Linked DNA regions of Lepisosteus oculatus. The protein of the gene in region 1 binds, or shares a complex with, the protein of each later gene. Links are inferred from orthologs where the notes say so. Each region holds a gene or a part of one and is shown on either strand. Other genes may lie near its edges.

What was found.
Region 2: timm50 (region 1) and timm17b share a complex: the UniProt entries of both Homo sapiens proteins name them as parts of the TIM23 complex. The link is inferred for Lepisosteus oculatus from reciprocal best matches to the Homo sapiens genes TIMM50 and TIMM17B.

What each region holds. Positions count from the first base shown.
Region 1 is NC_090698.1:2,305,454-2,320,509, forward strand, and holds the start of timm50 (mitochondrial import inner membrane translocase subunit TIM50), read left to right. Parts: upstream 1-7,722; 5' UTR 7,723-7,773; coding exon 7,774-7,989; intron 7,990-9,038; coding exon 9,039-9,201; intron 9,202-9,896; coding exon 9,897-9,928; intron 9,929-14,575; coding exon 14,576-14,597; intron 14,598-15,056. Other genes in the region: supt5h (transcription elongation factor SPT5), read left to right, coding at 546-648, 1,762-1,889, 2,159-2,267, 2,371-2,529, 3,451-3,619, 4,161-4,364, 4,708-4,803, 5,410-5,550. UniProt on the Homo sapiens protein: Essential component of the TIM23 complex, a complex that mediates the translocation of transit peptide-containing proteins across the mitochondrial inner membrane. Has some phosphatase activity in vitro; however such activity may not be relevant in vivo.
Region 2 is NC_090697.1:75,081,890-75,096,744, reverse strand, and holds timm17b (mitochondrial import inner membrane translocase subunit Tim17-B), read right to left. Parts: upstream 7,565-14,855; 5' UTR 7,508-7,564; coding exon 7,482-7,507; intron 6,390-7,481; coding exon 6,290-6,389; intron 5,897-6,289; coding exon 5,833-5,896; intron 4,863-5,832; coding exon 4,734-4,862; intron 3,714-4,733; coding exon 3,603-3,713; intron 3,481-3,602; coding exon 3,392-3,480; 3' UTR 523-3,391; downstream 1-522. Other genes in the region: pqbp1 (polyglutamine-binding protein 1), read left to right, coding at 9,722-9,788, 10,452-10,563, 11,144-11,244, 12,000-12,089, 12,223-12,286, 12,802-12,952. UniProt on the Homo sapiens protein: Essential component of the TIM23 complex, a complex that mediates the translocation of transit peptide-containing proteins across the mitochondrial inner membrane.

The DNA.
Region 1 (15,056 bases):
CTATGAATTCTCAGGGTTATGTCATTTGTTGTCTTTGCCAACATTATACTTGTCAGTAGTGGTGCCCAGTGTTCTAATTTAATTTTGTACATGAGGAATAGGCAGTGATTGCCAGGACCATGATTTTATGGTGTAAACCTGGAAAAAACACTCATTCTGCCACATCTGCCAGTGATTACATTGGGTTGTAGTGCTCCTGGCTTAACTGCAAAGAATTGTATAAATATTTTGATCCTTAGTTAAGATGTCTGGGAAACATCAGACCAGTAGAAGTTCATAAAAATATTCTGTTCAGTTAAAAACCACTTCTCTTCCGTTTCACAGCAATATTTTATACTTTATTTTTCTGAAACACTGTTAAAAATGCTCTTCTAACTTTTACTGTGAATACCATACACTTAAATACATCCTCTGTTCTTGACCCTGAATGAATAAAAGACTTTGTTGTGCAAACTCTCTGTGGCTGCCTGGCAGTGGCTCTCCTGTCGGGGGGTCGCAGGTCTCTTGTGGGCCAGACAATTTGAGCTCTCGCTCCTTTTTCCCAGGGTACATTGGAGTAGTAAAAGACGCCACAGAATCGACGGCTCGTGTGGAGCTGCATTCCACTTGTCAGACCATCTCCGTGGATCGGCAGCGTCTGACCACTGTGTAAGTGCCTTTGGAATGAGAGGCAGTGTGAAGGGGGGGGCGTCTGTCCAGTGGTTAGGGTACAGGGCTTGTGAAGGGGGCCTGTCGGTCCAGTGGTTAGGGTACAGGGCTTGTGAAGGGGGGGGCGTCTGTCCAGTGGTTAGGGTACAGGGCTTGTGAAGGGGGGCCTGTCGGTCCAGTGGTTAGGGTACAGGGCTTGTGAAGGGGGGCCTGTCGGTCCAGTGGTTAGGGTACAGGGCTTGTGAAGGGGGGCTGTCGGTCCAGTGGTTAGGGTACAGGGCTTGTGAAGGGGGGCTGTCGGTCCAGTGGTTAGGGTACAGGGGTTGTGAAGGGGGGCTGTCGGTCCAGTGGTTAGGGTACAGGGCTTGTGAAGGGGGGCTGTCGGTCCAGTGGTTAGGGTACAGGGGTTGTGAAGGGGGGCGTCGGTCCAGTGGTTATGGGTACAGGGGTTGCTATCATAAGGTTCCCAGTTGAAGCTCCGGGTCTTCCTCAGACCAGGCATTACAGTCAGTTACTGAGTCTCTGTGTGTGGATGGAATGTCAGACTGAAGTGCTCTTGTCAGTGACTGGGCTGATGCCGTATTTCATTCTGTAATCTCTTTGGATGAAACCCTCAGCTACATGAGCAAAATATGAGTTCAGCTGTTATTACTTTAATCTGCTCTGCCAGGGGTTAGTTAATCAACATCTGACCACACTGGAGTGGATGAGAGGAACCAGCTTTTAACAGTTCGAGCAGCGCGCGAACAACGTTTTCTCTCGTTGTGTGGTCTGTTGGGAAACGCAGGAAAACGGATTTTCCCTGCACATCCCTCTTCCTCCTCAGGAGTAGTTTGCCAGAATAATTTCAGAGGAAAGAGAAACAGATGTTCTTTTGAACTTTGGGCAAAAAAAGAGGGGGAGTCGGCAGGGTGGTGTGCGTTGGGGCGCGTCTCCCCACTTGAATTCTGGTTCTCCACTGCAGCTGACTAGAACTGAAAGACCTGTCACCTGACTGTTTACTGCACCGCCCAAACACGGCCTGCCTGCCGCTCTGTCTCACCCTTTTGTGTGGACATTTGTGAGGTTTTTTTTGTCTGACCTTTGACTTGTCTGTTTTGGGGGGATTCACAGGGGAGCAAGGAGGCATGGAGGAATGACTTCCACACATGGGCGCACCCCCATGTACGGCTCCCAGACCCCCATGTACGGGACAGGCTCCCGAACCCCCATGTACGGGTCTCAGACGCCGCTGCACGACGGTAAGACCTCACCCGATCCCGATCCCATCACTCGATCCCGATCCTGATCCCGATCCCAGCCTTCTCTTGCTCTCCTGAGCGTTGGGGTTACAGCACACTGTCCAAGGGACTTGGTAATGATCCAGTCTTGAGCGCTCACAAAACTTGATCTTTCTGTTTCATGAAAAACATAGCATCTCCTCTTTCTCCAGATCTGGGTTCCACACTTTTTGTAGGCTCATGGATCAGGATCTGATTGGACTCTTTTGCCTTTGCCTTTAATACTGCAGCTGGGAACCGCACCCCCCACTATGGCTCACAGACCCCGCTGCATGATGGGAGCAGGACCCCAGGACAGAGCGGAGCTTGGGACCCCAACAATCCCAACACTCCCTCAAGGTAAGGCGCGCCCCCCCCCCTTCTCCCCCAGGGGCTGGCTGTCGTAGTTCAGTCTGATCACACGCCATGGGGTCCCTGGTCTCACCCCGTTTTCTCTTCACAGGGCTGACGAGGACTACGAGTTCGGATACGACGACGAGCCCTCTCCTTCTCCGCAGGGTTATGGGGGCACACCCAATCCGCAGACGCCTGGTTACCCTGAGGTGCCCTCTCCTCAGGTCAACCCCCAGTACAACCCACAAACACCGGGCACCCCTGCCATGTGAGTGACAACACCCCAATCCACCCATGGGCGCTCACTGCTCGCTGCCAGGGCACAGGGGCCTGCAGGGGTCCTGACGTTGCCAGCTTGTACCCACTGTTCCGCAGAATTCGGCACACAGCATGGGTCTTCATACCCGAGTAATCTCCACATCCTGAATTTGTTATCCTGAAGTATGAGGATACACAATGGGAATGCATGTGTGTTCTGTTTAGCATCAGTTCTGATTTTAGAAGAGCAGCTAGGTTAGCTGACAGGAGCGCTGTTGTTCCGTGGACAGGCCAGTGAGGGTATTGGAAGGTCCGCCCGCTTGCTGGCAGTGTGGTCGAAGGCAGCCTATCTGCCGGAGCAGTCTCCTGGAGATTGAGATGTTATCCCTCAATCCCTTCTGAGTCAGCACACTAGTCCAGGAAAGGAGGTGCAAGCCAAGGCGTTGAAAGAGTGTGTGGGTGAAGTCGTGGGTCGATCTGTCGGTGCTGTCCCACTCCTCTGACAGGCCTGACGCTGGACAGGCCGCAGTGAGCGCTGCGCTCATGTTCAAGCCAGCTGGAGGAGCTCGTGGAGACATGATGACATGGGAGCGAAGGACAAAGCTCTTGAGCCAACAGTTGATTTTTTTCTTGCAAGTCCGTCCAGTGTTGCTTTTCCTCCAGAACAATGCACAACCATCGGGTGCTACGATTACAATAGAAGGCTGCTGTGGAAAACGGTGAGGGGGTTTTGACTGGAACAGGTCTCCTGTCAGACCACCGGGGTCATGTTTTGTCTTGAAAGTGCGTGATGAGCGTGGTGTCTCAGCGGGGTGTTCTCCTGATATGCTAGTAACTCCACCAGCACAAACAGAAAAACGCTGCATCGGTATATCGAGAGCACTGTATGACGCACGTCGTGTTAACTACTTCCCTTGTCCTTGTTCCGCAGGTACAACACAGACCAATACTCCCCCTATGCTGCGCCCTCTCCGCAGGGCTCCTATCAGCCCAGTCCCAGCCCACAGAGCTACCACCAGGTGGCGCCCAGTCCTGTGGGTTACCAGAACACACACTCTCCTGCCAGCTACCACCCCACCCCTTCGCCCATGGCGTACCAGGTAACATCTTCCTCTTCCTCACTGTGAAAGATTACAGCTCGTCTCTCCACAGTACTGTTACCACATCGCCAGCCATGTCCCTACACTTCCCTGAGCATCAGTGGGTGCTTTCCTCAGTGTACTGTGGATGATATGTGGAATAACATCAGGAACCCATCCCTCCCTATAGGGGGGGTGTGAGCCAACACACTGTTGGTGTATAATTTTCTGTATCGTGAAAAGTTCTAGTGACTTCAAACCTATCTTCAAACTTCCGTGATGGCTGCAGTTAAGAAACAAGGAGACCAAAAAATAAAGCTGATAAAAGAAATTGATCAAGTCAGGTTTTGCGAGGTGAAATACTTGTGGTTGAAACACTGAGCTTGATTAACTGATTTTATTAGATTTTTTGGGTGATTGCTTAAAATATCTAAAATATTTTTTTGCATTTAAATTAAATCCAGTAAACTGTATTTACATATTAATCTCTGAAAGGTGTTGTAGAGAGATGAATTTAAACTGCCGATATCTACCATGCTGACTGTTTGGGTCCCCCTCCCAGGCCAGTCCGAGCCCCAGCCCGGTAGGCTACAGTCCCATGACCCCAGGAGCGCCCTCTCCTGGTGGGTATAACCCCCACACCCCTGGCTCCAGCATCGACCAGACGTCCTGCGACTGGGTCACCACTGACATCCTCGTGCGTGTCCGGGACTCCTTCCTGGACACCCAGGTGGTCAACCAGACCGGCGTGATCCGCAGTGTGACGGTGAGTGACCGCAGCCCTGCCGCTGGGGAGGTTCAGAGACTCTTAAACTCTCTGACCTTGACGCCCCACTGTGTTGGAGTCGTCTGACCGGAGTTTTTCCGACCTGGCTGCCTGAGGGTTGTTGCTGTGTGGATGGTTCTGCGGTGCGCTCGTACTTTCCTGTGCACGGCGTGGTGCTCCTCCCCGTGAGCCGTCCTAATCTGTCACACTTGCACACGCTTAGTTGTTGCCTCCTCCGAGCGGATGTCTCATGGGGGATCCCCCCAGGTCCACGGGGGAGCTGGGGGTGGCGTCTCTGGTCTGCTGTCCAGTCAATGGGCTCTGCGTGTCTTGTGTCCCACAGGGCGGGATGTGTTCCGTGTACCTGCAGGACACTGAGAAGGTGGTCAGCATCTCCAGCGAGCACCTGGAACCCGTGACGCCCACCAAGAACAACAAGGTATTGTCGGCTCCTGCCTGGAGCAGCTGTACCTGCCAGTGACGCTAAATCACTGTGCGGAGTGAGGCTTCCTGTCCTGACACTCACTGCTTTTAAAGCATGAAAAAAATAAAATGTGTCTCCTCTTTGTTCAGTACTTCGTTTGGGACACGGCAAGGTTTTCTAAAAGCCTTACCCTATAGTGCCCCCATGTGTTTTGGAAGGAGAAGTACACCCCCACATGCAATGTCAGTGTCTGCAGTAACAGGTTTTAATTGTAGCTGACATCTGTTTAATGGGTAACAGTGTTTGTCTGTGGATTCTGTGGGATTCAGCTCTTGTTGGACCCACTTCATGGCTGGACTCGGCTGGAGATCGGCTTTCCAGGGTGAATGTGAAATGTCTCTGTGTTGCTCAAGTCCCTGGTTAGAAGGATTGAATAACCTGAGGCCCTTTCAGGGTTCAGTCACACTGGGCCTGGAGAGGCACTGGGTCTCATTTTCCTGCCAGGCCAGATGAATGGAGGGCTGCAGGATCAGAGCTCTCCGGCGCCGGTGTTAGAGCCAGTTCGCACGTCCCCACCTCCAGCTGTGGCCAACGACGTGAGCTGTGTGTGTCCCCCTGCAGGTGAAAGTGATCCTGGGAGAGGACCGGGAGGCCACAGGCGTCCTGCTGAGCATTGATGGAGAGGACGGGATTGTGAGGATGGAGCTGGATGAGCAGCTCAAGATCCTCAATCTGCGCTTCTTGGGCAAACTGGAGGTGTGACCCATCCCTCCCAGCTTGAGCTCCGCGCATCCATCCCACTGAAGTTAGAGGAATGTAAAAAAACCATGCTTTTCCGTGGCGTAGCGTTACTTTTTGTACTTTCTTCGTCCTCCTGCTGTGGTGAGGCTGTGCGTATGTCACCTTTTTGAAGAGATGGAGAGTAATTCCGAGTAATTCCTAATTTGAGGAGAAGATTTTTTTTTCCTTTTTTTTTTAAACCTGCTGGAGACAGATTTTGGAGTGGCACGCTGCTCTGATTGTGCAGTGTGGAACTTAGGACTTATTTTCTGCTTTGTTTTTGTTTGTTTTTTTAGGCCATGAAATTCCACAATAAAAACGGCAATGGAGAAGATGTTGGGCTGAGTGGCTTGTTTTCACTCTCAAATTTAAAAAGTGTGCATCTTTGATGTTGTGTGTTCTTCACTGTGATCGTACCTTTGAGTGTTTTCAGTGCTTCTCTCTTGTTGCAGCAGGTTTCACCAGTTCCTGGCCCACTGCTCCCTGCTAAACAGTTACATATATGGGCAACAGATGAATTATCATTTCTTTTTAATCACCTTCTACATACAGTATTATTGTAGTATAATTATTTCAGACAATTACCAGGTAAATCTGTTGCAATTTACCTTATTAACAAGCAGTTAATTTATTACCTTGATGGTTGGATATGGTCATGCACAATTTTAATGCCGATTTAGTCACAGGCGTTTTTAAAGACATGCAGTGCATAAGGAATTGTCCAGACTCCCAACATACCTGTTCAGGCAATCGAACAGGAAAAGCACACTGGGCAAGAGTGGAGTGGTGGCTCTGTGGCTCAGGATCTGCACCTGTGGCTGGAAGGTTGCTGGTTCAAATCCCGTGGCCGGCAGAGGAATCCTACTTTCTTGGGAACCTGAGCAAGGCCCTTAACCCCAACTGCTCCAGGGGTGCCGTATAAATGGCTGACCCTGCGCTCTGACCCCAAGCTTCTCTCCCTGTCTCATGGAGAGCAAGCTGGGGTATGCAAAAGACAAATTCCTAATACAAGATAAAGTAAATAAAGCCAAGATAAAGCCAATAAAGTGATCTTATCAAAACGCAAAAGCAATCGCAGTGTTGCTGATCTGGGCCCCGTCTCTCCGGAAACCCGTCATTATAAACCTGGCACGGAGTTCTCGGACCTGCAGGGATCACTCGGTGACGTACCGCCCGGGACAGTGCTGGAAACTCGCCTCACGCCGCTGACCCCGTGACCCCCCTTCAGACACCAGACTAACCGTCCCGCAGGCGGGGGCGATCTCACACAGCGTTTGGTTCTCAGTTCATCTGGGGGGGGTCTGCAAAGCAGAACGAGGATCCAGTAGTAACCACAGCACAAAAAGAGATGAGAAAAGAGAGGCTGGCAGGTCCACAGTACATTTAACCACCTAAGCTGTAATTAAGCTGTAAGAAGATTCTGGATGTGTGCAGCAACACTCGGAGATCCTCTTCCACTCTCCTTTGAATGTTCTGCAACTGCAAACAATATCCCGGTGGAAGGTATCGGAAAAAAAGAATTACTCTGTTTCTGAAAATGTCTTTGAAATTCCAGACTTCTTCAAAAACAAGAGTAGTTGTTTTTTTACCGATAGACGTCTGGAAATGTCAAATCTCTTGAAAAGACCGGCGGTGTTGAAAGATGCCTTGTATCAGCTGCACCTTGGAGATGCAGTGTCTGATTGGATTTAAAATAGGTCAGTCGCAGCCAACAGTAATCCAAAAACTGCAGACTCGTAGGGGTTAGATATATTGAGATTTTTACGTGAGAAAATGTTTTCACAAACCTAACGTACTAAGAATCAAATTTGAAGTATAAGAATCCATCAAGTTATTGTTTTAATTTCTCTACTTGAAAACAAACGTTTTAAATTTTGATTTACGAGGTCAATGGCTATTAACGTAGAATCAGACCTCGCTCCAGCGAATTCGCCTTGTAAGAAGATTAATAGACTCGTTGACGTCACTCTACGTCTTTGGGGCGTGTGCCCTCACAGAGCATGGCCGCTTTGGCGCTTCTCGCGAAGGTCAGCGATTCCTACTTTTTGATTGGGCGCAACCTTTCGAGACACACCTTCAAAGGCGGGTCCTTCATCGTTCAATTTCCTATTGGGGCGTGCCCTTGTCAATCAAATCCCCCCCGTCCAATCACCACAATTTGTCCTTTACACTCGCGTCATTGCGACCGGTTGTGCTCCATTCAAGATGTCGGCGGGGTATGTATACAACGTGTGTGTCCGGACGAGCCGGGGCCTCTTGCGACTGGGACCCGGGATCAGAGCCGGTCCAGGAGCTGCGGTACCTGCCGGGATCCGGGCGATGCACTCTGACCGGCCGGCCGGCAGAGAGGACAGCGGTACCGGTGGGCTGGCTCAGGCCATCCTGCAGGACCGACTCCAGCAGCAGCAGCTCAAGAGCCAGGTCTGTGCACAGCCGCGGTTCTGTCTGTCTGTCTGGTTTCCACCTGTTGGAGGGAAAGACACGGTATACTGCAGGCGAGTACAGGCGAAATTTACACTTTTGTCAAGTCCATAGGAAGACGTATCTCTACATGTCGGCCTGCGATGGTGGTAAGTGGGTTCGCTGCTTTTGAAGCGAGTCAGCTGCCTGTCAGTGTCGGTGCTGCCACTGCCCCGCAGGTCAGATGTTCCCCAAGAATTTTCTTAATAATAATAATGATGATGATGATAATAGTGACGCGACGCTTTGGAACTGAGCTGTTACAGCGAGGCCGTCGTGGGCGACGTAACCTTGTCCGGGGAAAGACACCTTTTACCTTGAAAGAGCTGCTCTTTTAAATGACCGTTGCCGTTCATTTAGGTATATTCAAGAATATATCTAAATCTCCGTTTTGAAACCGAACTGGGTTTTTAAATCTTGCAAAGAAGGCAAGTCTGTTGTTGTTGTTTTTTTTTACTCCAAACGGGTGTGTCTCGATCACAGAGAGTAAACGCGTTGATGGTAAGCTAACGCGAATCGCCTGTTAGCGGGACAGGGGGGTCACGTCTAGTTTCCAGCGTCGGTGTAGTGAGTGAAGCCTGAGTTTTTTGCTCTGATGTGGTTTCCTGTTGTGACTGGTGGCTGGTGAGGTCGGGTAGATGGACTGCTAGTAGTAACCTTCCCGGCTCGTTCTCCCCTGGCGTCACTGTAGACTTTCGTAATGAAACACATGTCACGCTGTAGACGCATGTGCAACAATCCCCAAGTGGCTGAGGCTCACAAACTTCCTTACTGGTTAAAACTTAAAGAACAGTTACAAGCAGGAGGAGGCCGTTTGGCCCTTAAGCCTGGGTGCCGGCTTTGGCAATGTGACTGGGTACTTGTTCCAGACCCCTGCCGCCCTTTGTGTAAAGAAGTGCGTCCAGCTCTCGGCTGTGAGGGCGGTTTGCTGTCTTGCCGCGCTGGTGAGGGCATGGCTGGGCGCGAGATATCAGTGCAGAGCTCTGACTCCCCTGTGTGGGTGTTTTCAGGGGGAGCCGGCCGGCGACGCAGAGGGGCAGGGGCAGCAGGGGCAGCAGGACCGGGGCGATGAGAGGAAGCAGAAGGAGAACACGGCCTACGCCAAGAAGATCGTGCTGAGGCTGGCCGGCGTGCTGGCGCTGGGCGGCTCCGTCGGCGTGGTGTACCTCTTCGGTGAGTGGACCGCTCAGGGCGGGGCCGTCTGCCCACCCAAAGCCCTGCCCTCAAGCAGCTTGGATCCTTTGGGATTCCTGTCCGCTGGTATTGACAAGCCAGGACTTGGGCCTGGAGTCCCCACCTGGAGCAGCACTAGACCTGAGGGCCAGAGAGTGACTGGCGGGGGGCGGCTGAGGGGACCCACACTGGCCCCTGAGAGCTCCAGTTTCGTGGGATTCATGGGTCACTCCTTAAATCAGGGGACCCCCAACTCTGGTGCAAGGGAAAGTTTTATTTTAACCTCTGGAGCAGGTGATTGGTTTCATAAAGTAGTTTAGCTACCATCTGAAAGGAAAATGCCGAAAGCCTGTAGCTCCTTGGGTTTCACGCCTAAATCGAACCCGTTCCTTGACTGAGCTGGTGCCAACTCCCTTGTGGTCCGAGTCTTGACAGCCTGCTGATCGAAGAGCGGTCTGTAAGGCCTGGATCGGATCGGAACGGGACGACCCCGGGGCTAGAGGTGGTCTTTTTCTTATCTGTCAGTGTCCTGCCCCAGAGCAGCGAGAGCAGCTCTTTATTCCCAGGGATCCATCTGGGGCAGCTGGTGATCTTTCCAGACATTGATTCTGCAAATAATCAGAAGAAATATTTAGCTCAAGATCTGCTCCCTCCGGTTCCTGATGGGTGAAACTTTTTTTCTCTTTCTCCTGCAGGCAGCAGTTCTATGGATGAACAAGGGAACAAGGTACAGTCTGTTTCCTCTACAGGGCCGGAATGGGTAATATTCAGCTTCTAGCAGCTCAGAGAAGCAGGTCACTACAGGCTGGGGGGAATAAGAGTTTTCTTCAGTACTGGCACTCTGTTTTCAAGGGGATCTGCAAGGCTGTTTTTACACCTTGGTGTTATAGTGATAAGTGCATTTCAAACCACAATGAAACTACCAAATACACAGAAACGTACAACCTGCAATTTCAATCACCAAAGAGACAAAATTTCAACATATCTGCAGCTCCATATTAATTAATTAATTGCTTACACTTATATAGCGCTTTTCTGGACACTCCACTCAAAGCGCTTTACAGGTAATGGGGATCCCCTCCACCACCACCAGTGTGCAGCCCCACCTGGATGATGCACCAGTCCGCTCCCCACACACCAGCTCTCAGTGGGGAGGAGAACAGAGTGATGAAATCAGTTGAGAGAGGGGGATTATTAGGAGGCCATGATTGGTGAGGGCCAAGGGGAAATTTGCCCAGGACAGCGGGGTTACACCCCTACTCTTTTCAAGAAATGCCTGGGATTTTAATACAAAAGCAGGCCTATTGCACTGTGAACATGCTTCAGACCAAGTCAGTTTTGCTACCATAGTAATAGTAAAAATTCTGATGAATCTGACACGTACAAGGCAACACATTTTTAGGTGCTTTTAAGTTTTGCTTAAACGGTGGCGAGGCGCTTTGCGACAACATGGCAACCATACAGTCCTTTCACAAAGCCCATGTTTTTACACTTCATTCAGAATCTGTCAACTGTTGCGATACTGTAAATGAGTTTATTTTGTTGCCAAGGTTTAATTACCGGTCTGAGAAATTGGGACTGCAGTTCCCCTTTAAAACAGTAATTCAGTAGTTTGCTAGAAGATCTTCTCAACTTCAAGCAAAGGCGAATGCAAGTTCAGGGCTGTAGACTAACAAGTGTGCTTTTATGCAGTTACTAAACTGGGTGGTTTATTTCAAATGCAGACTTCCAGTAAGCAGGGGTGATCGGTGAAGTCTGTCAGGTGCCAAATTGAGTTTGTCACTTTCTTGGGGACCGTATGATAACCATATGGGTAAACTTTCTGTTACCTAAAACAGACATCACCGGATCCGAGATGTGGATTTCTGTAAAAGTTATTGTTCATTCTCATGCACATTTCGCACAGCTGTACCAATATGAATCAGTGCCATACATATGTGCAAATACTGGTCACATTTAATGTGATGGAAAAGAAATGTTATGTTCCACATTTCCGAGTAGCATGACTCCTGAGAGGGTTGTTCTAGAAAATCAGATTTAGAGTGTGGCCTTTAACTGCCGAATTCCTGATATGCAAGCTCAGTGCTTCTCAGTCCTGGTCCTGGAGTCCTCCTGTCTGCTGCTTCTGTGGAGAACTGGGGGTATTTCCTGCCGGTTGGTCTTGTCTGGTAACGTGATCCAGGCTGCATTGTGAGTGAGGAGTGGGGGTCCACTTCAAAGAGCACACTTCTGGCCCAGGTGTGAACCTGGAGTGTGCTGGGAGCTCACTTCAAAGAGCACACTTCTGCTGCAGGTGTGAACCTGGAGTGTGCTGGGAGTCCACTTCAAAGAGTGCACTTCTGGCCCAGGTGTGAACCTGGAGTGTGCTGGGAGTCCACTTCAAAGAGCGCACTTCTGGCCCAGGTGTGAACCTGGAGTGTGCTGGGAGCTCACTTCAAAGAGCGCACTGCTGGCCCAGGTGTGAACCTGGAGTGTGCTGGGAGCTCACTTCAAAGAGCACACTTCTGGCCCAGGTGTGAACCTGGAGTGTGCTGGGAGCTCACTTCAAAGAGCACACTTCTGGCCCAGGTGTGAACCTGGAGTGTGCTGGGAGTCCACTTCAAAGAGAGCACTTCTGGCCCAGGTGCGAGTGTGGGTGTGGCGTGGAGAGTGCTGGTGTGTTGAGGAGGAGGTGAGTGGTTGCTCACGTGAGCTCAGGGGTGTGCAGACGCTCGGTCTTGGCTGGGGAGATGGGGTGTGCCGTCATTCACTGCAAGAGAGCTTGCAGTTTTGGTGTGTAAACACTTGAGGAGAACAGTAGGTGCAGGGTAGTGTACTTGGTGTAGCTCTGTGCATCCTGCGGTGAACGTGTCCAGCCCAGAGCCGTGCTCTAGTGTTGTTGAGGCCTGGGTGCTGTGACAGTCCCGTCCTCTGGAACGATCGGGGCGCACTGCCCCCCCCCACCGCACCTGGATGACAGCCCTGTGCCCGGAGGTGTGCCGGTTTCCCGTGGGAACTGGAGTGGCCCCAGCCTCCCTCTCTGCAGCTTGGTGCGAGGCTGTTAAGTGGGCTGGCAGGTTCCTGGACACCCCCTTCACATACAGGCGTCAATGCCTGTGATGCTGCTGCTAAATACCTGTTGGCACTCGGATCTGTGAGCTCACGCCCCCCGAGGCAGGCTGGGGAGAGCCCTGGAGCCGCAGCGGAGGAGCTCTCGGCCTGCTTCTGTCCGATTCTCTGAAAAACATCCGGTTATCCCGGCTTCTTTTAAAAAGGAAGTTCTTCCGTGAATTACATGAACTATCTTGAGTCGCTTTTAAGTATGGCAATGCATTCTCGGGTTTTTTTAAAACTTTTTATTTGATGATGGAAGGATTTACAGGTAGAACATATAAAGCACAGCTAAACACACTTAAAGTAATCTACTGCGTTTGTCTTTCATTTTACAATTATATTTTGTGTTTTATGTCATTACCTATTTATATGAAGTTAATGTAAACAGGAGGTTATGAGTGGAAATGCAGTCGGCAAAAACATAACCAGCTATCAACACAAAACAATGACTTCATCCTCTTCACAGAGCAGAACCGGGTCTCAATGGGCCCACAAACTCAATCCAGGTGTGCTGGTATTGGCTAAACCTCTCGCCTATAACCCAAGAGTGATGGTGATCTTTTCCATGATGTAAAATTCCTTTACAAAACTGATCCACTGTTGAGATGCTGGGGTTCATTCTCTTGTGGTTTTTTAACTGTCTGCTAAAATAATCTTCCTTTTACTTTCTGAGATTATTTTGAAGGCACTATGTGAAATGAAGCCTTCCAGAATCGGTTTGATGGAACATTTGACCCTTTTCTGGCTTCTAAGTAAATCTTGGACAGGATTAGAGTGTTGCCTTTTTAGATAATTATTTGTTTGGCTAGTAGATCACTAAAAAATAAAGACTTATTCTGTTTAATTCCAATACACCTCCGATCCAGCTCTTAAAACGTTTCGATTTAAGGTTAATCGTTTTCCACAACGCGGTGTAATGTTGTAGGTGACCACCAGAGGTCAGTGTTCTTGTTGAGGTGAAGGAGGCTCAGTGGGAGACGGGCGGCTGTCAACCGTAAAAAGCGTGTTTGTGATATTAGGTGCAGTAAAGGGAGAAGCCAAAACTTTAATATCAAAAACTAAAAATACTTATGGTAACAGATACTGACTTGCTGCATTTTTTATTGCTCAGATTGCACAGTTTGGGCATTGCAATGCGTTTTATTTTCTATGGAAGAAGTTTTCACCTTATTTGCGCAAATTACTAATTGGCCCCTTTGAGCTTATAATTGACAGCTTTGATTCTGTGGGTGCGTGCGTTGCCTTTGGGAACTGCAGGCAAGGCCTCTGAGATACCAAGAGGTCCGCCTGACAGACAGCTGCGCTGCTCAGTAGTAACCACAAGAGGGCGTCTTGTTGACGTCTAAAATCTAAATTATGAGCAAGTAAAGGTTTATTCCATGCTGGAAAGACAAGAAAAAAGAACAACGTTTTGGCTGTGGAGCCTTCTTTTGGTTGTTTCTTTTCTCTGGAATAAACCTTTACTTCTTCCTTTGCAGCCGATTCCTTTGCAGTATACGCCGATACCTAGTTGAACTAAATCCAAATTACACTAGTCTTTTTTTTAAAAAAGTTTTGTATAAATCCTTTTCTACCACATTGACTGTACCGTGATGGCGATTTGCATGGTGTCCATGCATAGTGCACATTTGCACATTTTATTCAGCTTGTAATTGTGAATATTGCGATCATTTACAGCCCATCAGTGCTAATTTCCTTGTCCTGCTGTCGAATCAGGGGAGCCAGTTCAGTCTCTTTGGGGCACAAAACCAGAGAGATTAGAGAATGATTGAATCGGCTAGTAGATAAGTAAAAAAAGGAGATATTTGGTTTAATCCAGCACACCTCTGTTTCAGTTTACGGGCTCTTTAAATGGGGTCGGACCCCAACATGAGGAGAGGCAGCTGCAGGATCAGTGAAGCCCACAGTCGGTAGTGGTGTTGCCGCGAGCACGATGTTGGTGTTTGCCCTGCTGTAGGGACCGGGGTAATTCGGCCCGCAGTCAGTCCCCCTGTGGGAAAACAGAACTGGGGAGGATGTCAATGTGGTTGGGGGTCCCAGAGCGGGCAGGGTGGGTAAGCGGGCCCCCCTCTCCCCAGTTCCCACGCTGTACAGCTTGTGGCTGTTTGGGAACCCCTCCTCACCACCACCAGCTCGAGGGGGGCTCAGGCCTGCTGGCAGATGTATCTGAATTATTCATCTGTTTGGCAGATTAATTTAATGTGTAATTGAGCGGATCGGACTCGCTCACCCTCTCTCTCTCTCTCTCTCTCTCTCTCTCTCTCTCTCCTCTCTGTTTCAGATTCCAGATGAGTTCGACGGTGGTAAGTGTGACTGATTCTGTTCCTGATTGTTTTTTCTGTTTTCTGTTCTCCGGGGGGGGGTATTCCTGATCATATCAGAGTGAGAGGAGTGATGCCTGTGAGGAGAGCAACACAAAACCAGGGGGTATGCATTTAAAACCAACAAGGCCCTTCTTTACACAAAGTGTTGTGGGGGCATGGAACAAGCTGTCCACCCTTGTTGTCAAAGCTGATGCTCAGGCATCTCTTAATCTGCTGGAGATCCTCAGATCATTCAGCTACTAGCAAAGTATAGATTTATATGGGCTGAGTGACCTCCTGTCTGTGATGTTTCTGATGTTTATGCACTGGATGTGTAATACTGACTGTGTCTCTGGAAAAGCGAATTTCCGGCACATCCTGGTTTCATAGCTGCCTGCAGGGGGGCCGTTGATCATGGTGAATGAGCTGCGTGTGTGTGTGTGTAGCTCCTGCCGATGT
Region 2 (14,855 bases), on another chromosome or scaffold:
TCATTCTGTTTAATTTACGTGCTTGGACGTGTGTAGCTCTCACTGTTGTTTTCCTGTACAGTGCCGTGAAAGACGCTATATGAAACAAAGGTGGCTGTTATGTTGGCACAAATCATCTGGGAGACGCGACGGGGCTCTCGGGAGGACTATGGAAGACAGCCGGGGGGTCAGAGGGTGAACTCCACGCCAGAGACTCCTTCCCTGCTGAACTGGCATGATGAAAGATCAGGCAGGTCAAGTGACACAGGAGGTCTTAACACATCAGACTTATCCTGGGCCTCGGGACTGGGCTGGGCCGGGCCCCCACTGAAACAGAAAAGCACAGCTTTGCTGACGGACGATGACAATGCTGTCAACAGTGGGCACAGGCCTCCAGGCTTTACTTCTACAGCTGTTCATGGGACAACAGGGGTGACATTTGTAGTACAAGACCCTGAGATTAGCCCTGTGGAAACAGTTTGCTGATGCTGACAAAGACGTCCCCCCCAACAAAATGTTTTTCAACCGGTGAGGCAACATCGGTATGATTCAACCACAAAATACTTTATTTAAAAATTTAAAAACTTTTTTCAGCGTTATAAATAAAATCTGTTCAGAAAACTACAAGAATTGTCTTTATGCTTCCATTTTTAAGCCCTAAAAACAAAAACACAAGTTTACAAACCCCCTAACGCCTTTTATGCAAACACTTTTTTACAAGAGACAGAAGGTGGAGATGAGGAGGGAGAGAGGGGGGTGGTGTACGACAGAACAGTGCTGAATTTAAATTGAGGGTGCACGATTCATACCATTTTTGGGGAGCAGTACAAAAAATACATATTGGGTTGGCTTAAGAATGCACAATCCCACATCATAACGTGATATTTATTCCACGATCCCCCTCACCGTCTTGATACAAGCCGAAGACATTACATCGACAAATTAGCATCACATTGTAGTATCAATTGTCACTGCTCAATGCCAACTATAAATAAAAATGAGGCTCCTTGCAGTAACACTTAAACAGTATAATTAAAAAGCACTACAAGTCTCTATAGTGACAAATGATGGTCTAAGAACAGCATTTTCAATAAACGGCTAATTGAAATGAGCTTAAAAAACATCAATGCTGGACGTCCTTTCTTGCAAGTGCTGTAACTGTATTTAGTTGATTGATTAATCAATCAAAACGTCATGCTCTCTCTTTTCAGTGCAGCTATTACATTCTTTTCAAAATGGAGGCTTCATAATGCAGCACAGTCCTGTGAAATCAACGCCGTTTCCCTTTCCACGCCTGTCTCACCTATAACTGAGCTACACGCTAGCCTTGGGGATAAAGGAGGGGACAGGAAATTGGGGACAAACAGCACCGACTCTGTGAACTGCAGGTCCCAGACGGCCAGCTGTGCTCCAGGATACCCCCAGCTCTGTGGTGCCTCAGAAATGCACCATGTGAACTTCCCCTCCAGTCTCCCGTCTCGACCCTCCGCTGAAGGGCTGGGTTCAAAACGGAAAACGAAGAGACCCAGGCGCTCCTGAGGACCAGGCCGGGCAACGCCATCCTCACCGTCCTCTCCAGGGAAGCAGATCGGGGCTTACAGCTCCACCTGCTGGCGGGTCTTAGCTTACACACGGCTTTTGATCCCTGTAAAAAACACCGACCAGCACTTGCAACCGTGAGGTGGCTCACTCGGCCTAGCTTCGTACGCGTGGTGCTGCACGGCAGAGGCAAAAATAAAAAACCGTCTCCTCTCTGTGGAGCTGTGGGGAAGGCAGTGACAGACGTGTCCCTGTCTATGACGCGGGTGTCGAGTGTTTCAGCTGGAGCGCAGGGCCTCGAGGGGCCTGCCTGTCAACGCCACCCTTATCAGTTCCCTGCTAGGCAGCTCAGTGCCAGGATGCAGATGGGGCTGTGAATCACTTCGCCACAAGGTAAAAAAATCCCCCTGAAACCCCATGTGAACTATTTGCAATTTTTGTTTATTCTGCAAAAATGCCATTTTTCATCCCGTTTCCCAAACTGTCTGCTTAAACAGCCTCTGCTGCTGCATATGTGTTAGTGCTACTGTCTCAAGGTTGTCAGTTAAAGAGCCCTACTGCTCCTCCTGCCACAGAGGCACAGCCACTTTGTGACTGGTGTTGTGTCCACTGTGGGCTGTAAACAGCAGAGCTGGAGGACAGAGAGAGAACACAGCATAGCCTGTTGGGACAGCCCGTCAGGAGAGAGAGAGCACAGCCTGTCGGGAGAGAGAGAGCAGAGCCCGTCAGGAGAGAGAGAGAGAAAGAGAGAGAGCAGAGCCTGTCGGGACAGCCCGTCGGGATCGGGATCGGGAGAGGGAGAGGGAGAGAGCACAGCCTGTCGAGAGAGAGAGAGAGAGAGCAGAGCCTGTCGGGACAGATCATGAAGAAAGAGAGAGCAGAGACTCTCAGGACAGATCGACAGGAGACAGAGCACAGACTGTGGGGAAAACCTATCAGGAGAGAGAGCACAGACTTTCAGAACAGCCCATCAGGAGCGAGACAGTACAGCCTGCTGGGACAAGTGCATGCAGGTATGAAAAATAAAGCAGGATCAACAGTCCCAAATCTGACATGACCCCTGAGTTGCAGTACTGACAGTAGGAACTGCGCTTTCAGTATGGGGTTCTCATTAACCCCCAGTAGCACCAATTTAACACGTGCTTCTTCATACATATGTAGATATTAATGACTGTCCTGGGTTCGACGCACCTGGACCTGTGGGCTGCAGGCTGAAAAGCAGGGCTGCTCAACCTCCAGGCCCGGGCCTGCAGCACCAACCGCACTCCGACCGCTTGTTCGGCTGGTCCTGCCCCCTCACGGCCCGTGACTCACGGTGCAGGACCAGACCGGACCGCTTCACGGGCTGCGGCGGGCTGCGGCGGGGCACAAGCGCTGCGTAGGAACAGCGCCAGCCGGGCGAAACGCCAGCGCACTCTCGCTACGCGCGAGTGGTGCGTTCACGCTCAGAAGAGCGAACTCCGGGCGTGCAAACGGGATCGAGTTCTGCTCCGGTTATTTTTCTTACTCCCAGAGTCCAAAACGAGCTTTTCCAGGCCCTCTGACAGGCCTCTTCAACTTGCAGTTTATCCAAAAGGCATAGAAACGCAGAATCTAAGCGATGGAGATGCGAAGCCTGACAGTTTGTCTTTTGTTTCTCAGAGAGCGGGGATCGATCCGAATCTGATTTGTTCTGCTCCAAGTCTAAATTCCCTCCCTGCGTGCGACACTGTTTCAGGCCTGTAAAGGGAATCTCCCAGCGTGCTCTGGGGGAAGGCCCTGCCAGTGTCCCAGAGCAGCTTCCTGGCCGTCTGTCTCTCCCTCTCTCCTCCTGTTGGTCTGTCTACCCGGGTCACAGTGAGAGTGCCTGCTGCCCAAGGTCCGGTTCTCGGCCCTACTGGTACTGTCCAAACCCGCGGTACCCCTGCTGCTGGCTCGGGTCCTTCGGGGGAAGCTGGCTTGGGTCTTCGACGAACGGGCTCGCTGCAGGAGAGACACACAGGCAAGCGCCGAGCGTGAGATGGCACCGGCTCTCCCACGACGAGCAGGAAACTCTCGATGCGAGCGAGCGAGCAGGCGGAGTTGGGCAGGGGGGGGGTACTCACGGTTCTGGAACTGCTGGGCGGTGTATCTGGTGAGCAGGATGCCGAAGCCCTCAATCAGAGCCAGAAGGACCCCTCCCATCATGGCTGAGCCCACCATGGCCAGCGGGCCGCCTGAGAGAGGACACACACACACACAAACACAAAAAGATGTCAGCCTTGCTGCCTGGCACAGGGGCTCACTGCATAGTGACCGGGCTGCGGGACAGGGTGGATCTGAAACTCGTCCCCTTATGAAACAGACAGACGTGTCTGGTTAACTGGCCACTGATTCGACCTCTGGAGCACATTCTGCTCAAGAACCTAAGGACTTAAAAGATCTCAAACCTAGTTAACTTGTTTTTCCTGCTGAGTGTTTTATGGCGAGCTAATTTACTAATTTTCCTGGTGAATGTTTTAAGGTGACCTAGTTTACCAGCTGCACTGTTTTTTTGCATTTTATGGTGAGCTAGTTGACTAGTTGTTCCGGGGAGTGTCTTCCCGGCGAGCTAGCCGACTGCTTTTCCCGGCGAGCTAGCCGACTGCTTTTCCCGGCGAGCTAGCCGACTGCTTTTCCCGGCGAGCTAGCCGACTGCTTTTCCCGGCGAGCTAGCCGACTGCCTTTCCCGGCGAGCTAGCCGACTGCCTTTCCCGGCGAGCTAGCCGACTGCCTTTCCCGGCGAGCTAGCCGACTGCCTTTCCCGGCGAGCTAGCCGACTGCCTTTCCCGGCGAGCTAGCCGACTGCCTTTCCCGGCGAGCTAGCCGACTGCCTTTCCCGGCGAGCTAGCCGACTGCCTTTCCCGGCGAGCTAGCCGACTGCCTTTCCCGGCGAGCTAGCCGACTGCCTTTCCCGGCGAGCTAGCCGACTGCCTTTCCCGGCGAGCTAGCCGACTGCCTTTCCCGGCGAGCTAGCCGACTGCCTTTCCCGGCGAGCTAGCCGACTGCCTTTCCCGGCGAGCTAGCCGACTGCTTTTCCCGGCGAGCTAGCCGACTGCTTTTCCCGGCGAGCTAGCCGACTGCTTTTCCCGGCGAGCTAGCCGACTGCTTTTCCCGGCGAGCTAGCCGACTGCTTTTCCCGGCGAGCTGGCTGACTGGTGCCTGGTGCCTGGTGCCTGGTGTCCCCGTGCTGCTGGCGCGGCGGCGCGGTCACTCACTGCGTGCGGCCAGCACGGCCCCCGTCATGGCGCCGCTGGTGATGGAGTTCCAGGGGTCCTCCTTGCCCCGCAGCTTCACCAGGCTGCAGTCGATCGTGGAGAAGAGCCCGCCCCACACCGCGAAGCTGCCTGGCAAGACACACACACACACACACACACCGCAGGGCGTCACCCCGGAGCGGCTCACTGAGCAGGTCACAGGAAACCTTCAAGTTTCACAGGGGGCTAGCGTATTGCAAGCCAACAGCAGACACTGGCGGGGGAGTCTGCACGTCTTCCTTAACTGGGGGCAAAGGTGCACTGATAGACTGGAGTTTGATATGCTCTGTCATGCTTCACACATGCAAAGAGACAGCACAATAAACCTGCTTCGCTATACTGCAAAAATGCATCTCATTTGTTTGAACTGTCTTTATCGTGATTTGTTTCGCTTTTTTGTATAATGTTTTGCGTTGTGTTGTATTATAGACTTGTGTGAGAATGGCCTACTTTTTGTACCATAGCGTAACTTTAATACTGTGTATTACACTGTGCGTGACCTGAAAAGTACGTACTTTATACAATTGTGCACAAAATCTAGAAAAAAACTGAATATCTTACCAGGATATTCTGGTATCTGAAGGTGAACATCTCACCTTGTAATTTACAAATCAATTAATATTAAATACAGTACTATACAGACCTGAAACCCCATGATCTAAAGTCCTGAATGCACCAGCTCACAACTTGTGGTCTGAGGACCCCTTGTGGACAGTTATGTTACTACAGGCCATAGTAGAGACATAGTGATGTGAGAAACGTCCTGTCTTTAAAGTCTGCAAAACAGCACCAGCTATCTTGATAGGCTACTCAATACACAATGGTCACACACACACGGGCACTGTCGTGCTTGGTTTTTATTAATATATTGAGTTAATGAATAGGAATTTAGAAATTTAAGGTGCATACATCACAAATGTTGACAGCGCGTGTTTATCGTGTCTCTGTGTTGCAGCTCTTAGTGTGCCAGATCTCTGCATATAACAGTGTGTTATAAAAACCAGAAACCAGAAACAGCCTAACCGCAGCTGCGTAAAGCAGACTGAGGGGTGACACTCACCTCCGATTTGGGGCGCCCGGATTCTGACGGCTTTGGCGCTGCCCCTCAGCCTGTGTCGCATGCCCTGCACAGAGAAACGCCTCTCTGTTAGCTGCGGTTTCCCCTCAGAGACAAGACCACACGGTACCGTACTGGGAGTCCCCCGTGGCCTTGATCTCAGAAACACTGTGTATATGCACCGCAAGAACAGTGGAAGCTCTGACTGCAGTGCAGTGCTCGTACAGCACTTTCTCCTCGCCCAGCGGTTATCTGCTGAGGTGCTGGACAAGGACTGGCACGCAGTATGAACAGCAGCGCTCAGAGAAAAGCCAGAACAGGCTGCTGTGGTCCTGGAGAGTTAACGGCAATCCTACCTGACAACCGAAGACAGTTAAATTGAAGCTCTTTCCTGGAGCAGCTGTTAAACAGTTAAATGAGCTCCACCGTGCAGAGCAGGTGAGAGTCTTCCTCTACTCACCACAGGGGCGTTGCGGAAGCCTTTGACGGCCTGAAAGATGCCCCCTCCTATTGCCCCCATCGTGAATGCCCCCCCACAGTCATCCACTATCCTCCACGGACTGCAGAGGGAGACAGAGGGGGCGGAGGGGGGATCAGGGAGTGTTACAGGGAAGAAGAGGGACAGGGAGTGGAAGGCCAGGGGAGAAGAGGAGGAACGTTGGGAAGGAAAAGGGAGATCGGAAAGAGAGGGAGGGCAGGGGAACGAGAGGGAGAAGGGCAGGGAGAGGGAGATGGAGAGGGAGAAGGGCAGAGTCGAAGGACAGATTAAGAGATGGAGGAAAGAAAAGGATGAGAGAAATATGGGGAGAAATAAAAAAGAGCTATTAACAACCCATCCAACCAGTATCCCAAAGTCTCGTAATCCTAGTAGGGGCCATGGAAACTCAGAGCCTATTCCAGAACTATAGGGCTCGGCTACACTACACCCTGGACAGGACACCAGTCCCTCACAGGAGACACACACACCCCGGACAGGACACCAGTCCCTCACAGGAGACACACCCACCCCGGACAGGACACCAGTCCAACACAGGACACACACACAAATCCTGGAAGGAATACTAGTCAATCACAGAAAACCACAACCGACAAAATCAACATATTTTACAGTAAGAACACATCAGCGAAGTGTTTAAAAATAACCAAAAGCAAATCACACTGAAATACACTACTGTCAATCCTGCACTGTGTTTTGCAAACGTACGCACCGCACAATTGTTAATAAAATTAAGATCAATAACGTATACAGCCTATCCGCGTATTCAAAACACAGACGAAACCCTGATACTACAGGTCGAAGAGAAACTGTAAGGAAAACATTTGAAACGCAGCAACTATTACTGTTCACAAAAGGTCGTGAAACACGTAATACGTCAACGATTTTTTAAACAACCTGCGTGAAGAATACTGAAGTTTATTTGAGATTTGACCTGATATTTCCAAGCAGCCAAATCGGTATTATATAGATTAGGACTATCGTTCAGTTACATAACTAAACAAGCTCAACTTGACATGAGTAAAAACAAACATTTCGTGTGGCTAAAAGCCAAATAGACTCGGTATTAAAAAGGTCATAAAACACGAAGCTAAAAACGTTTTTATTATCTCCTGCAGCATTTTAAAAGCTAGCTCTCCACTGGGCTGTACATTACCAGGGCTCTCGAGCGTACTCCTCCATCTTAACCACACAAACACAACACTGGGGGCTGATGACGTACGAAGCCGGCAAGGGCAAGCGAAGAAAGCACGTGTCATGTGACAGGAGTGCACAGCCCCTCATTGTTGAAAATATAGAACGTTTCCACGTCTGGCTCAGTTGTATGCGCAGCAGGCGGCCATATTAGTAGAGCTTGAAATTCAGTCCTCGTTAGGCAAGTAGAAATCGCAGCGCAATGTTCTAGACGCTCCATAGGAAACAATATGGGTCTGTAGAAATTTTATAAACTGAATTTCAGGAGCTGGGATATAAAACATGTACAATATTAATGTACCACTGTAGCGGTGAATGCATTATATATACAACTTGTCTTTGTGTTATTTAGTAGACACATCAAAATCTATAAAACGGATACAGCCCACTATGCAATAGCAGCAATGCGAGGAGACTGCACGAACCTGTCGTTAATATGACAGGTGGTTGATCTGTTTGAGTGGACATCTATCAATATGCTTTATATGATGTAAATGCAGATAATGAGCACAAGAAACCAAATATCACTAACATCTGCAGAAGGCTTCACAGCCGAAACGTTGTTTTCTCTCTTCTCTTTTCAGCATGGAATAAACCTGTTATTTGTTCCTTTAATAACAGAAAGTTTATCAGAAAATGTTTTAACCTTATTACACCAGCTGATGGCTTAAGATTTAAACGGTTTTCAAGAAAAGACTCGTTATGCTATCAAGTATTCTCTGCACTCCACTAAGATGGCGATCCGACTACACAACCTCAATGACGTAATCTTCTCGTGCCTTTTTATCACCTTGGCGACTGAACGTTCGTCACGTGAATGCGTATGCGCGCGCGTCTGTGTGACACGTCACTTACGCGACATTGTCGTCGCTTGCCTGTGGCCGGTGTCTTAATTTGCGGCGAGAAATTGGAGATTACATTATTAAAATCAAGCCTGTGTGAACATCAGTGCGGGTTAGAAGCGCATGTGTTGGATAAGAGGGCACCGCGAGTCGGAAAACGGAGGTGTGCTGTATATTTGAGATAAAAAGGGGGTTGGAGATTCAGAGGTGGTGTCGCTGGTCCGCCTGACTGGTTTGTGCGCGGTACTCAAAGGTAAGCAGGCTGCTGTCGTGAGCGGCACATCCAGATTGTTAGACAGACGCGCCATATAGGTGACGGGCGGACGCGGTCGTCTCCTGTAGCTCTTCCAGGGGCTAGCAGCTAACCGCTCCAGCCGCCTCTCGGAAAGAGCCGCGGCGCTGGGGTCCGGCAATATGGCTGTGCAGTCACTCTCCCACGACCCGCTCTCTGTGCACACGATGCAGAAGTGCTTTCAGTGTTCAAAGTGGGAAAACCACCTCTGAGGCCTTATAGCAGAGTAACCCTTGATGAAATTAGGCAGCTCCTTCGCACAGTGTCTTTCTCTCTGTGTAGAGGTGTACAGTGCTGTGTGCAGACTGTAGTTCTCTCAGTACAGTGTTATATAGTGCAGTGCTGTGTAGTTCTCTCGGTACAGTATTATACAGTACAGGGCTGTGTAGTTCTCTCGGTACAGTATTATACAGTACAGGGCTGTGTAGTTCTCTCGGTACAGTATTATATAGTGCAGTGCTGTAGTTCTCTCAATACAGTATTATACGGTACAGGGCTGTGTAGTTCTCGGTACAGTATTATACAGTACAGGGCTGTGTAGTTCTCGGTACAGTATTATACAGTACAGGGCTGTGTAGTTCTCTCAGTACAGTATTATACAGTACAGGGCTGTGTAGTTCTCTCAGTACAGTATTATATAGTGCAGTGCTGTAGTTCTCTCAGTACAGTATTATACGGTACGGGGCTGTGTAGTTCTCTCGGTACAGTATTATATAGTGCAGTGCTGTGTAGTTCTCTCAATACAGTATTATACGGTACAGGGCTGTGTTCTCTCAGTACAGTATTATATAGTGCAGTGCTGTGTAGTTCTCTCAATACAGTATTATACAGTACAGGGCTGTGTAGTTCTCTCAATACAGTATTATACGGTACAGGGCTGTGTAGTTCTCTCAGTACAGTATTATACGGTACAGGGCTGTGTAGTTCTCTTGGTACAGTATTATACAGTACAGGACTGTGTAGTTCTGGGTACAGTATTATACAGTACAGGGCTGTGTAGTTCTAGGTACAGTATTATACGGTACAGTGCTGTGTGCTGATTGTGTCCTGTATGTCCCAGGATCAAGGATGCCCCTCCCTCCTGCCTTACTGGCTCGTCTGGCCAAGAGAGGAATTCTTAAACAGACGGAGCATGGTGAGTCTCCCAGCCCAGCCTGGATATTAATACAACACAGCCCAGCGCAGCACAACCTGTCTGGATATGAACAAAACCCAACACAGCCCAGCGCAGCACAACCTGCCTGGATATTAACACAACCCAACACAGCCCAGCCTAGATATTAACACAACACAACCCAACCTAGATATTAACACAGCCTGGCGCAGCCCAGCCTGCCTGGATATTAACACAACACAGCCCAGCCCAGCATTGATATTAACACAATACAACACAGCACAGACCAGCGCAGCCCAACACAGCCCAGCCCAGCCCAGCCTGGATATTAACACAGCCCAGCCCAGCCTGGATATTAACACAGCGCTGCAAATTTTGGATCTTATCGCATATCTGAATATGAACATGGCTATACAGTAAAGCGCAGCCCAGCACACAGTTCTTTGTACGATACAGCACAGTCTGCTTTACAGTGCTACTGGCTAGTCCAGGCACGGATGTATAATTATCAGATGCTAATATTTTAATCATTAAAGATTGAAAGCAGAGCCTGTGTAGGCGAGCCCACTCCAAGAACATGCTGCCGGGACAAGCGCGCTGTCTAGGAGCTGACATTCCAGGTGGACAGGTGTGCGGCCAGGTGTTTCCCTGCTTTCTCACGGTCCTCTGTCGTCTTCCCTCCAGAGGCCGAGGAGGAGATCATCGCCGAGGACTACGACGACAACAACGTGGATTACGAGGCCACCCGCGTGGAGAACCTGCCGCCCAGCTGGTACAAGGTGTTCGACCCTGCCTGGTGAGGAGTCCGCCCCTCGTCACCAGTTCACCGCCCTCGCCCAGCCCAGCTGCGGATTGGGCTGGCTAGACGTAAAAACACAACATCCCTTCTGATGTAGAAACCTCTTCTCCGTCACCTTCTCTCTTCCGGACCCCCCGCAGCGGGGATACGCGATCCCAGTCCTCGAGGATCTGGGCTCCTGTGGGATTTAGAGGCTCTTTTAATCGGCAAACTGAAGGAAAACAAAACAGGCCAAATACTTAGTTCAGTCAGTAAAGCAAGGACGTTCCGGCCTGGGGTGAAAACCGGAGGGAGTGGAATTGCCTGCCCCAGCCAGCAGTCTCCATCTCTTACTGCCTCTCGGTCCTTCCCAGAGTCCTCTGCTTCCCTCTCTTCCTCCGCTGTCGGGCCTTCAGCCTGGGGTTCGGGGGCGGGGTCCTGGGTTCAAATCCCAGGCTGCTGTGCCCTTGAGCAAGGCTCTTCACCCACACTGCTCTGGTCAAAGACTCATGGGTACACATGTGGGCCACCTTGGATAAGAGCGTCAGCCCAAGCAGTAGTAATTATCTCTTGAAACGCTTTCTCTGCCGCCCCGCAGCGGTCTGCCGTATTACTGGAATGTGGAAACTGACCTGGTGTCCTGGCTGTCCCCCAACGACCCCAATGCCGTCATCTCCAAAGCGGCCAAGAAGCTCAAAGGTACCGCCGCAGAGCTACAGTCAGACAGCAAGTCGCAGGCCTGCTCTCCCATCGCACACGCGCCGGGGGAGGGGGTTGGGTTTGCTGTCGTGCTTTACTCTTTACAGTGTGGCTTCTTTTCCTCGCTAGTGTCCACTAACCAGCAGAGCTGTGAAAGGAATCGATCGGGTGCTGGCCTGGAGCGCCAGTGGGTCGCCCCCTGCTGGAGGGCGAGGCTGTGGAGAGCCAGCAGTCTCTCATGTCCCCAGGGGCGGGGCTTGGGCTGGAGGGCGGGGCTGTGGAGAGCCAGCAGTCTCTCATGGCTCCAGGGGCGGGGCTTGGGCTGGAGGGCGGGGCTGTGGAGAGACAGCTGTCTCTCATGGTCCCAGGGGCAGGGCTTGGGCTGGAGGGTGGGGCTGTGGAGAGCCAGGTGTCACTCATGGCCCCAGGGGCGGGGCTTGGGCTGGAGGGCGGGGCTGTGGAGAGCCAGGTGTCACTCATGGCCCTAGGGGCGGGGCTTGGGCTGGAGGGCGGGGCTGTGGAGAGCCAGGTGTCACTCATGGCCCTAGGGGCGGGGCCTGGGCTGGAGGGTGGGGCTCTGGAGAGCCAGGTGTCACTCATGGCCCTAGGGGTGGGGCCTGGGCTGGAGGGTGGGGCTGTGGAGAGCCAGGTGTCACTCATGGCCCCAGGGGCGGGGCCTGGGCTGGAGGGTGGGGCTGTGGAGAGCCAGGTGCCTCTCGCTATGTCTCCAAATCCTGTTCTGTTGTTCCCTGCAGAGGTCGAGGAGAGGGTGGAATGGGAGGAGGTTAGAGAGAAGAGGCAGCACCGCAGGGAGGACATCGCCCCCTACAGCAAGTTGAAGAGAGGTACGGACACACAGGCAGTGGGGAGAGTGTGGAGTGTGGAGAGTAACAGTCCAGAGCTGCACCTGTTGAGTGGGAATGGGGAGCTCTCCCACCTCCCACTGTATCTGAGAGGATGTTTCTCCTGTGTCTGCAGGGAGAGAGCGGAAGGACGAGGAGATGGATCCCATGGACCCCAGTGCTTACTCAGATGCCCCCAGGTGAGTGACCCCGCCTCCCTCCTCCCCCTGCACCTCCCTCACTGCCCATTCACCAGGACCTCCCCCTCTCTCCCCCCCTGCACCTCCCTCACTGCCCGTTCACCAGGACTCCCCCTCTGTACCTCCCTCACTGCCCATTCACCAGGACCCCCCCCTGTACCTCCCTCACTGCCCGTTCACCAGGACCCCCCCCTGCACCTCCCTCACTGCCCGTTCACCAGGACCCCCCCCTGCACCTCCCTCACTGCCCGTTCACCAGGACCCCCCCCTGCACCTCCCTCACTGCCCGTTCACCAGGACCCCCCCCTGCACCTCCCTCACTGCCCGTTCACCAGGACCCCCCTCTGTACCTCCCTCACTGCCCGTTCACCAGGACCTCCCCCCCTGCACCTCCCTCACTGCCCGTTCACCAGGACCCCCCTCTGTACCTCCCTCACTGCCCGTTCACCAGGACCCCCCTCTGTACCTCCCTCACTGCCCGTTCACCAGGACCTCCCCCCGTCTCTCTCCTGCAGGGGCACGTGGTCGACCGGCCTGCCCAAGCGGAACGAGGCGAAGACGGGGGCCGACACCACGGCCGCCGGCCCCCTGTTCCAGCAGAGGCCGTACCCCAGCCCGGGCGCCGTGCTCCGCGCCAACGCCGAGGCCACCCGGGCCAAGGAGTGAGCTGCCCTGCGCCGAGGCCACCCGGGCCAAGGAGTGAGCTGCCCTGCACCGCGACAACCCCGCGGGGAGTGCGTCTGCCCGGGTTTCTGCTTCCTGGTTTTTTATTGGTTAACTGAACTAATTCCACACAGCGTTGGATCAGCTGTCACTGCTCTGCAGAATGCAGGCTCTCCGCTGGTCATTCTGTCCACCGTTTTCTCGTTGGTGTGTTTTTGAAAATACCCCATCCATACCGTCGTAACAACAAAGATGATAATCGGGACGGTGCCTCTGGTAAAGCTCCCCTTCAGAGCCTCCCTGCATCCAGGAGCCTGCCTGCCTGCAGGAGAGCTTTGCCACACAGCCCGTCAGGAGCGAGTGTCCCGGTGGGGTACTCTGCATGCTCTCGGGTTTGTCTGCGTCTGTGTGAGGGGCTCCCCGCTGGGCCCTGGACCTTCATCAAGGGGGCAGCTGAATCCTGTCTGCACCCTACATGAGTCCTGCTTAGAGCAAGATTCATTTAGGAAGAAGAAATGAGAAGCAGGATCTGGGAATCTGTGTCCCAGGAGACACCCTTGGTTAGCAGGCTGGTAATCTAGGATTTACGCTAAACACCCCCTAACCAAATGCGTGTATCATCTTAAAATGTGTGACTAGCAATTTAATGTGATCCGCAAATTATACTTGGATGCAATTGGCTCGGCTTAAGATACAAACCCTGTACTGTTTGCTGTATATTCTTTTCTATTTTGATAATTTTTAAAGAATGATCAAATCTCTGAGTTAGGTGTGTTGAATATACACTTCAGAAGACACATCGCTTATTTATGTTTGTTTTGTAGAAAAATAAAGTATTCAGATTTTGGATACGGATTAAATATTTTTGGTGTCCTATTAATTAAATGATTATTCATGACTGATATAGCCAGTGTCTATATGCATAGCCACTAAATGAGACATTGATTGGCCACGTGATTAAATTATACATTTTTTATGCTCAGTGTCTTTAATTTGTGCGTTTCAGAAAAGGGAGAAGCTCTCCTAACGTTTAACAGCAAAGCTCTCATCTCAAGGTGTGTAATGAGCACATCTCACGCACAGAAGACAACACTTTGAACACAGGGTTACAGTAAAATACACAAGATAAGTGTTTCCATTATCTACTGAAAAAATAGATTGGTAATTCTATGTGGCCATTTGAAATTAAGGAGTAAAAAAAAAAAAGTATTGGACAAGTCCAAATTAAAAAGTTTAAAACATTACACTTTTTATTTTAAAACATTGGATACTCAGGAGCTGCAAAATCCATTTCTTCAACCAGTAATATATAAATATATTAACAGAGCCTCTTTTACTGAAAACGAACTGCAGACTGATCTTTTCTATAATAATATCTTCTGCATTCCTAGAGGGTCACCTGCAGTCTGAAGAGAAGGTGTAAAACAACACATGAGTAAGGAGGCTCGGTTCTGATCCCAGATCCTGTACCCTTCCCGTGGGCAGTACTTGCATCTAGGTTAAGACACTGGGTCCTCTCCTGTACACAGCTGCTCAGTCTGTCACCCAGACTCCCTGCAGCAGGAGGGAGAATTTGTTTTTCTACAGTGTCTACATCACCCGTAGCCCCGCTCCAGTTCTGAAGAGCCACAGGCCCCCGGGTTTCCACGTCCCCTTAAATCGGCAGCACCCCAAGAGCTCCTCCGCTGTAGCCAATCAGTAGTTGGGGTTGTGAAGAGCCCAGCTGTGGGGAAGGGGTCAGCCTGGGCTACATCATTGGTTCAGGAGTGTGGCGTTATCTTCTCACAGTTCTTATAGTGACTGTAAACCTTACCAGCTGTCTTACTCTGCCCTGGAACACAGCTCTGCGTGATTTCCAATAAAACACCATGTTAAAGTTGCCGGCCGGTCATGCTGTCCATCTCTT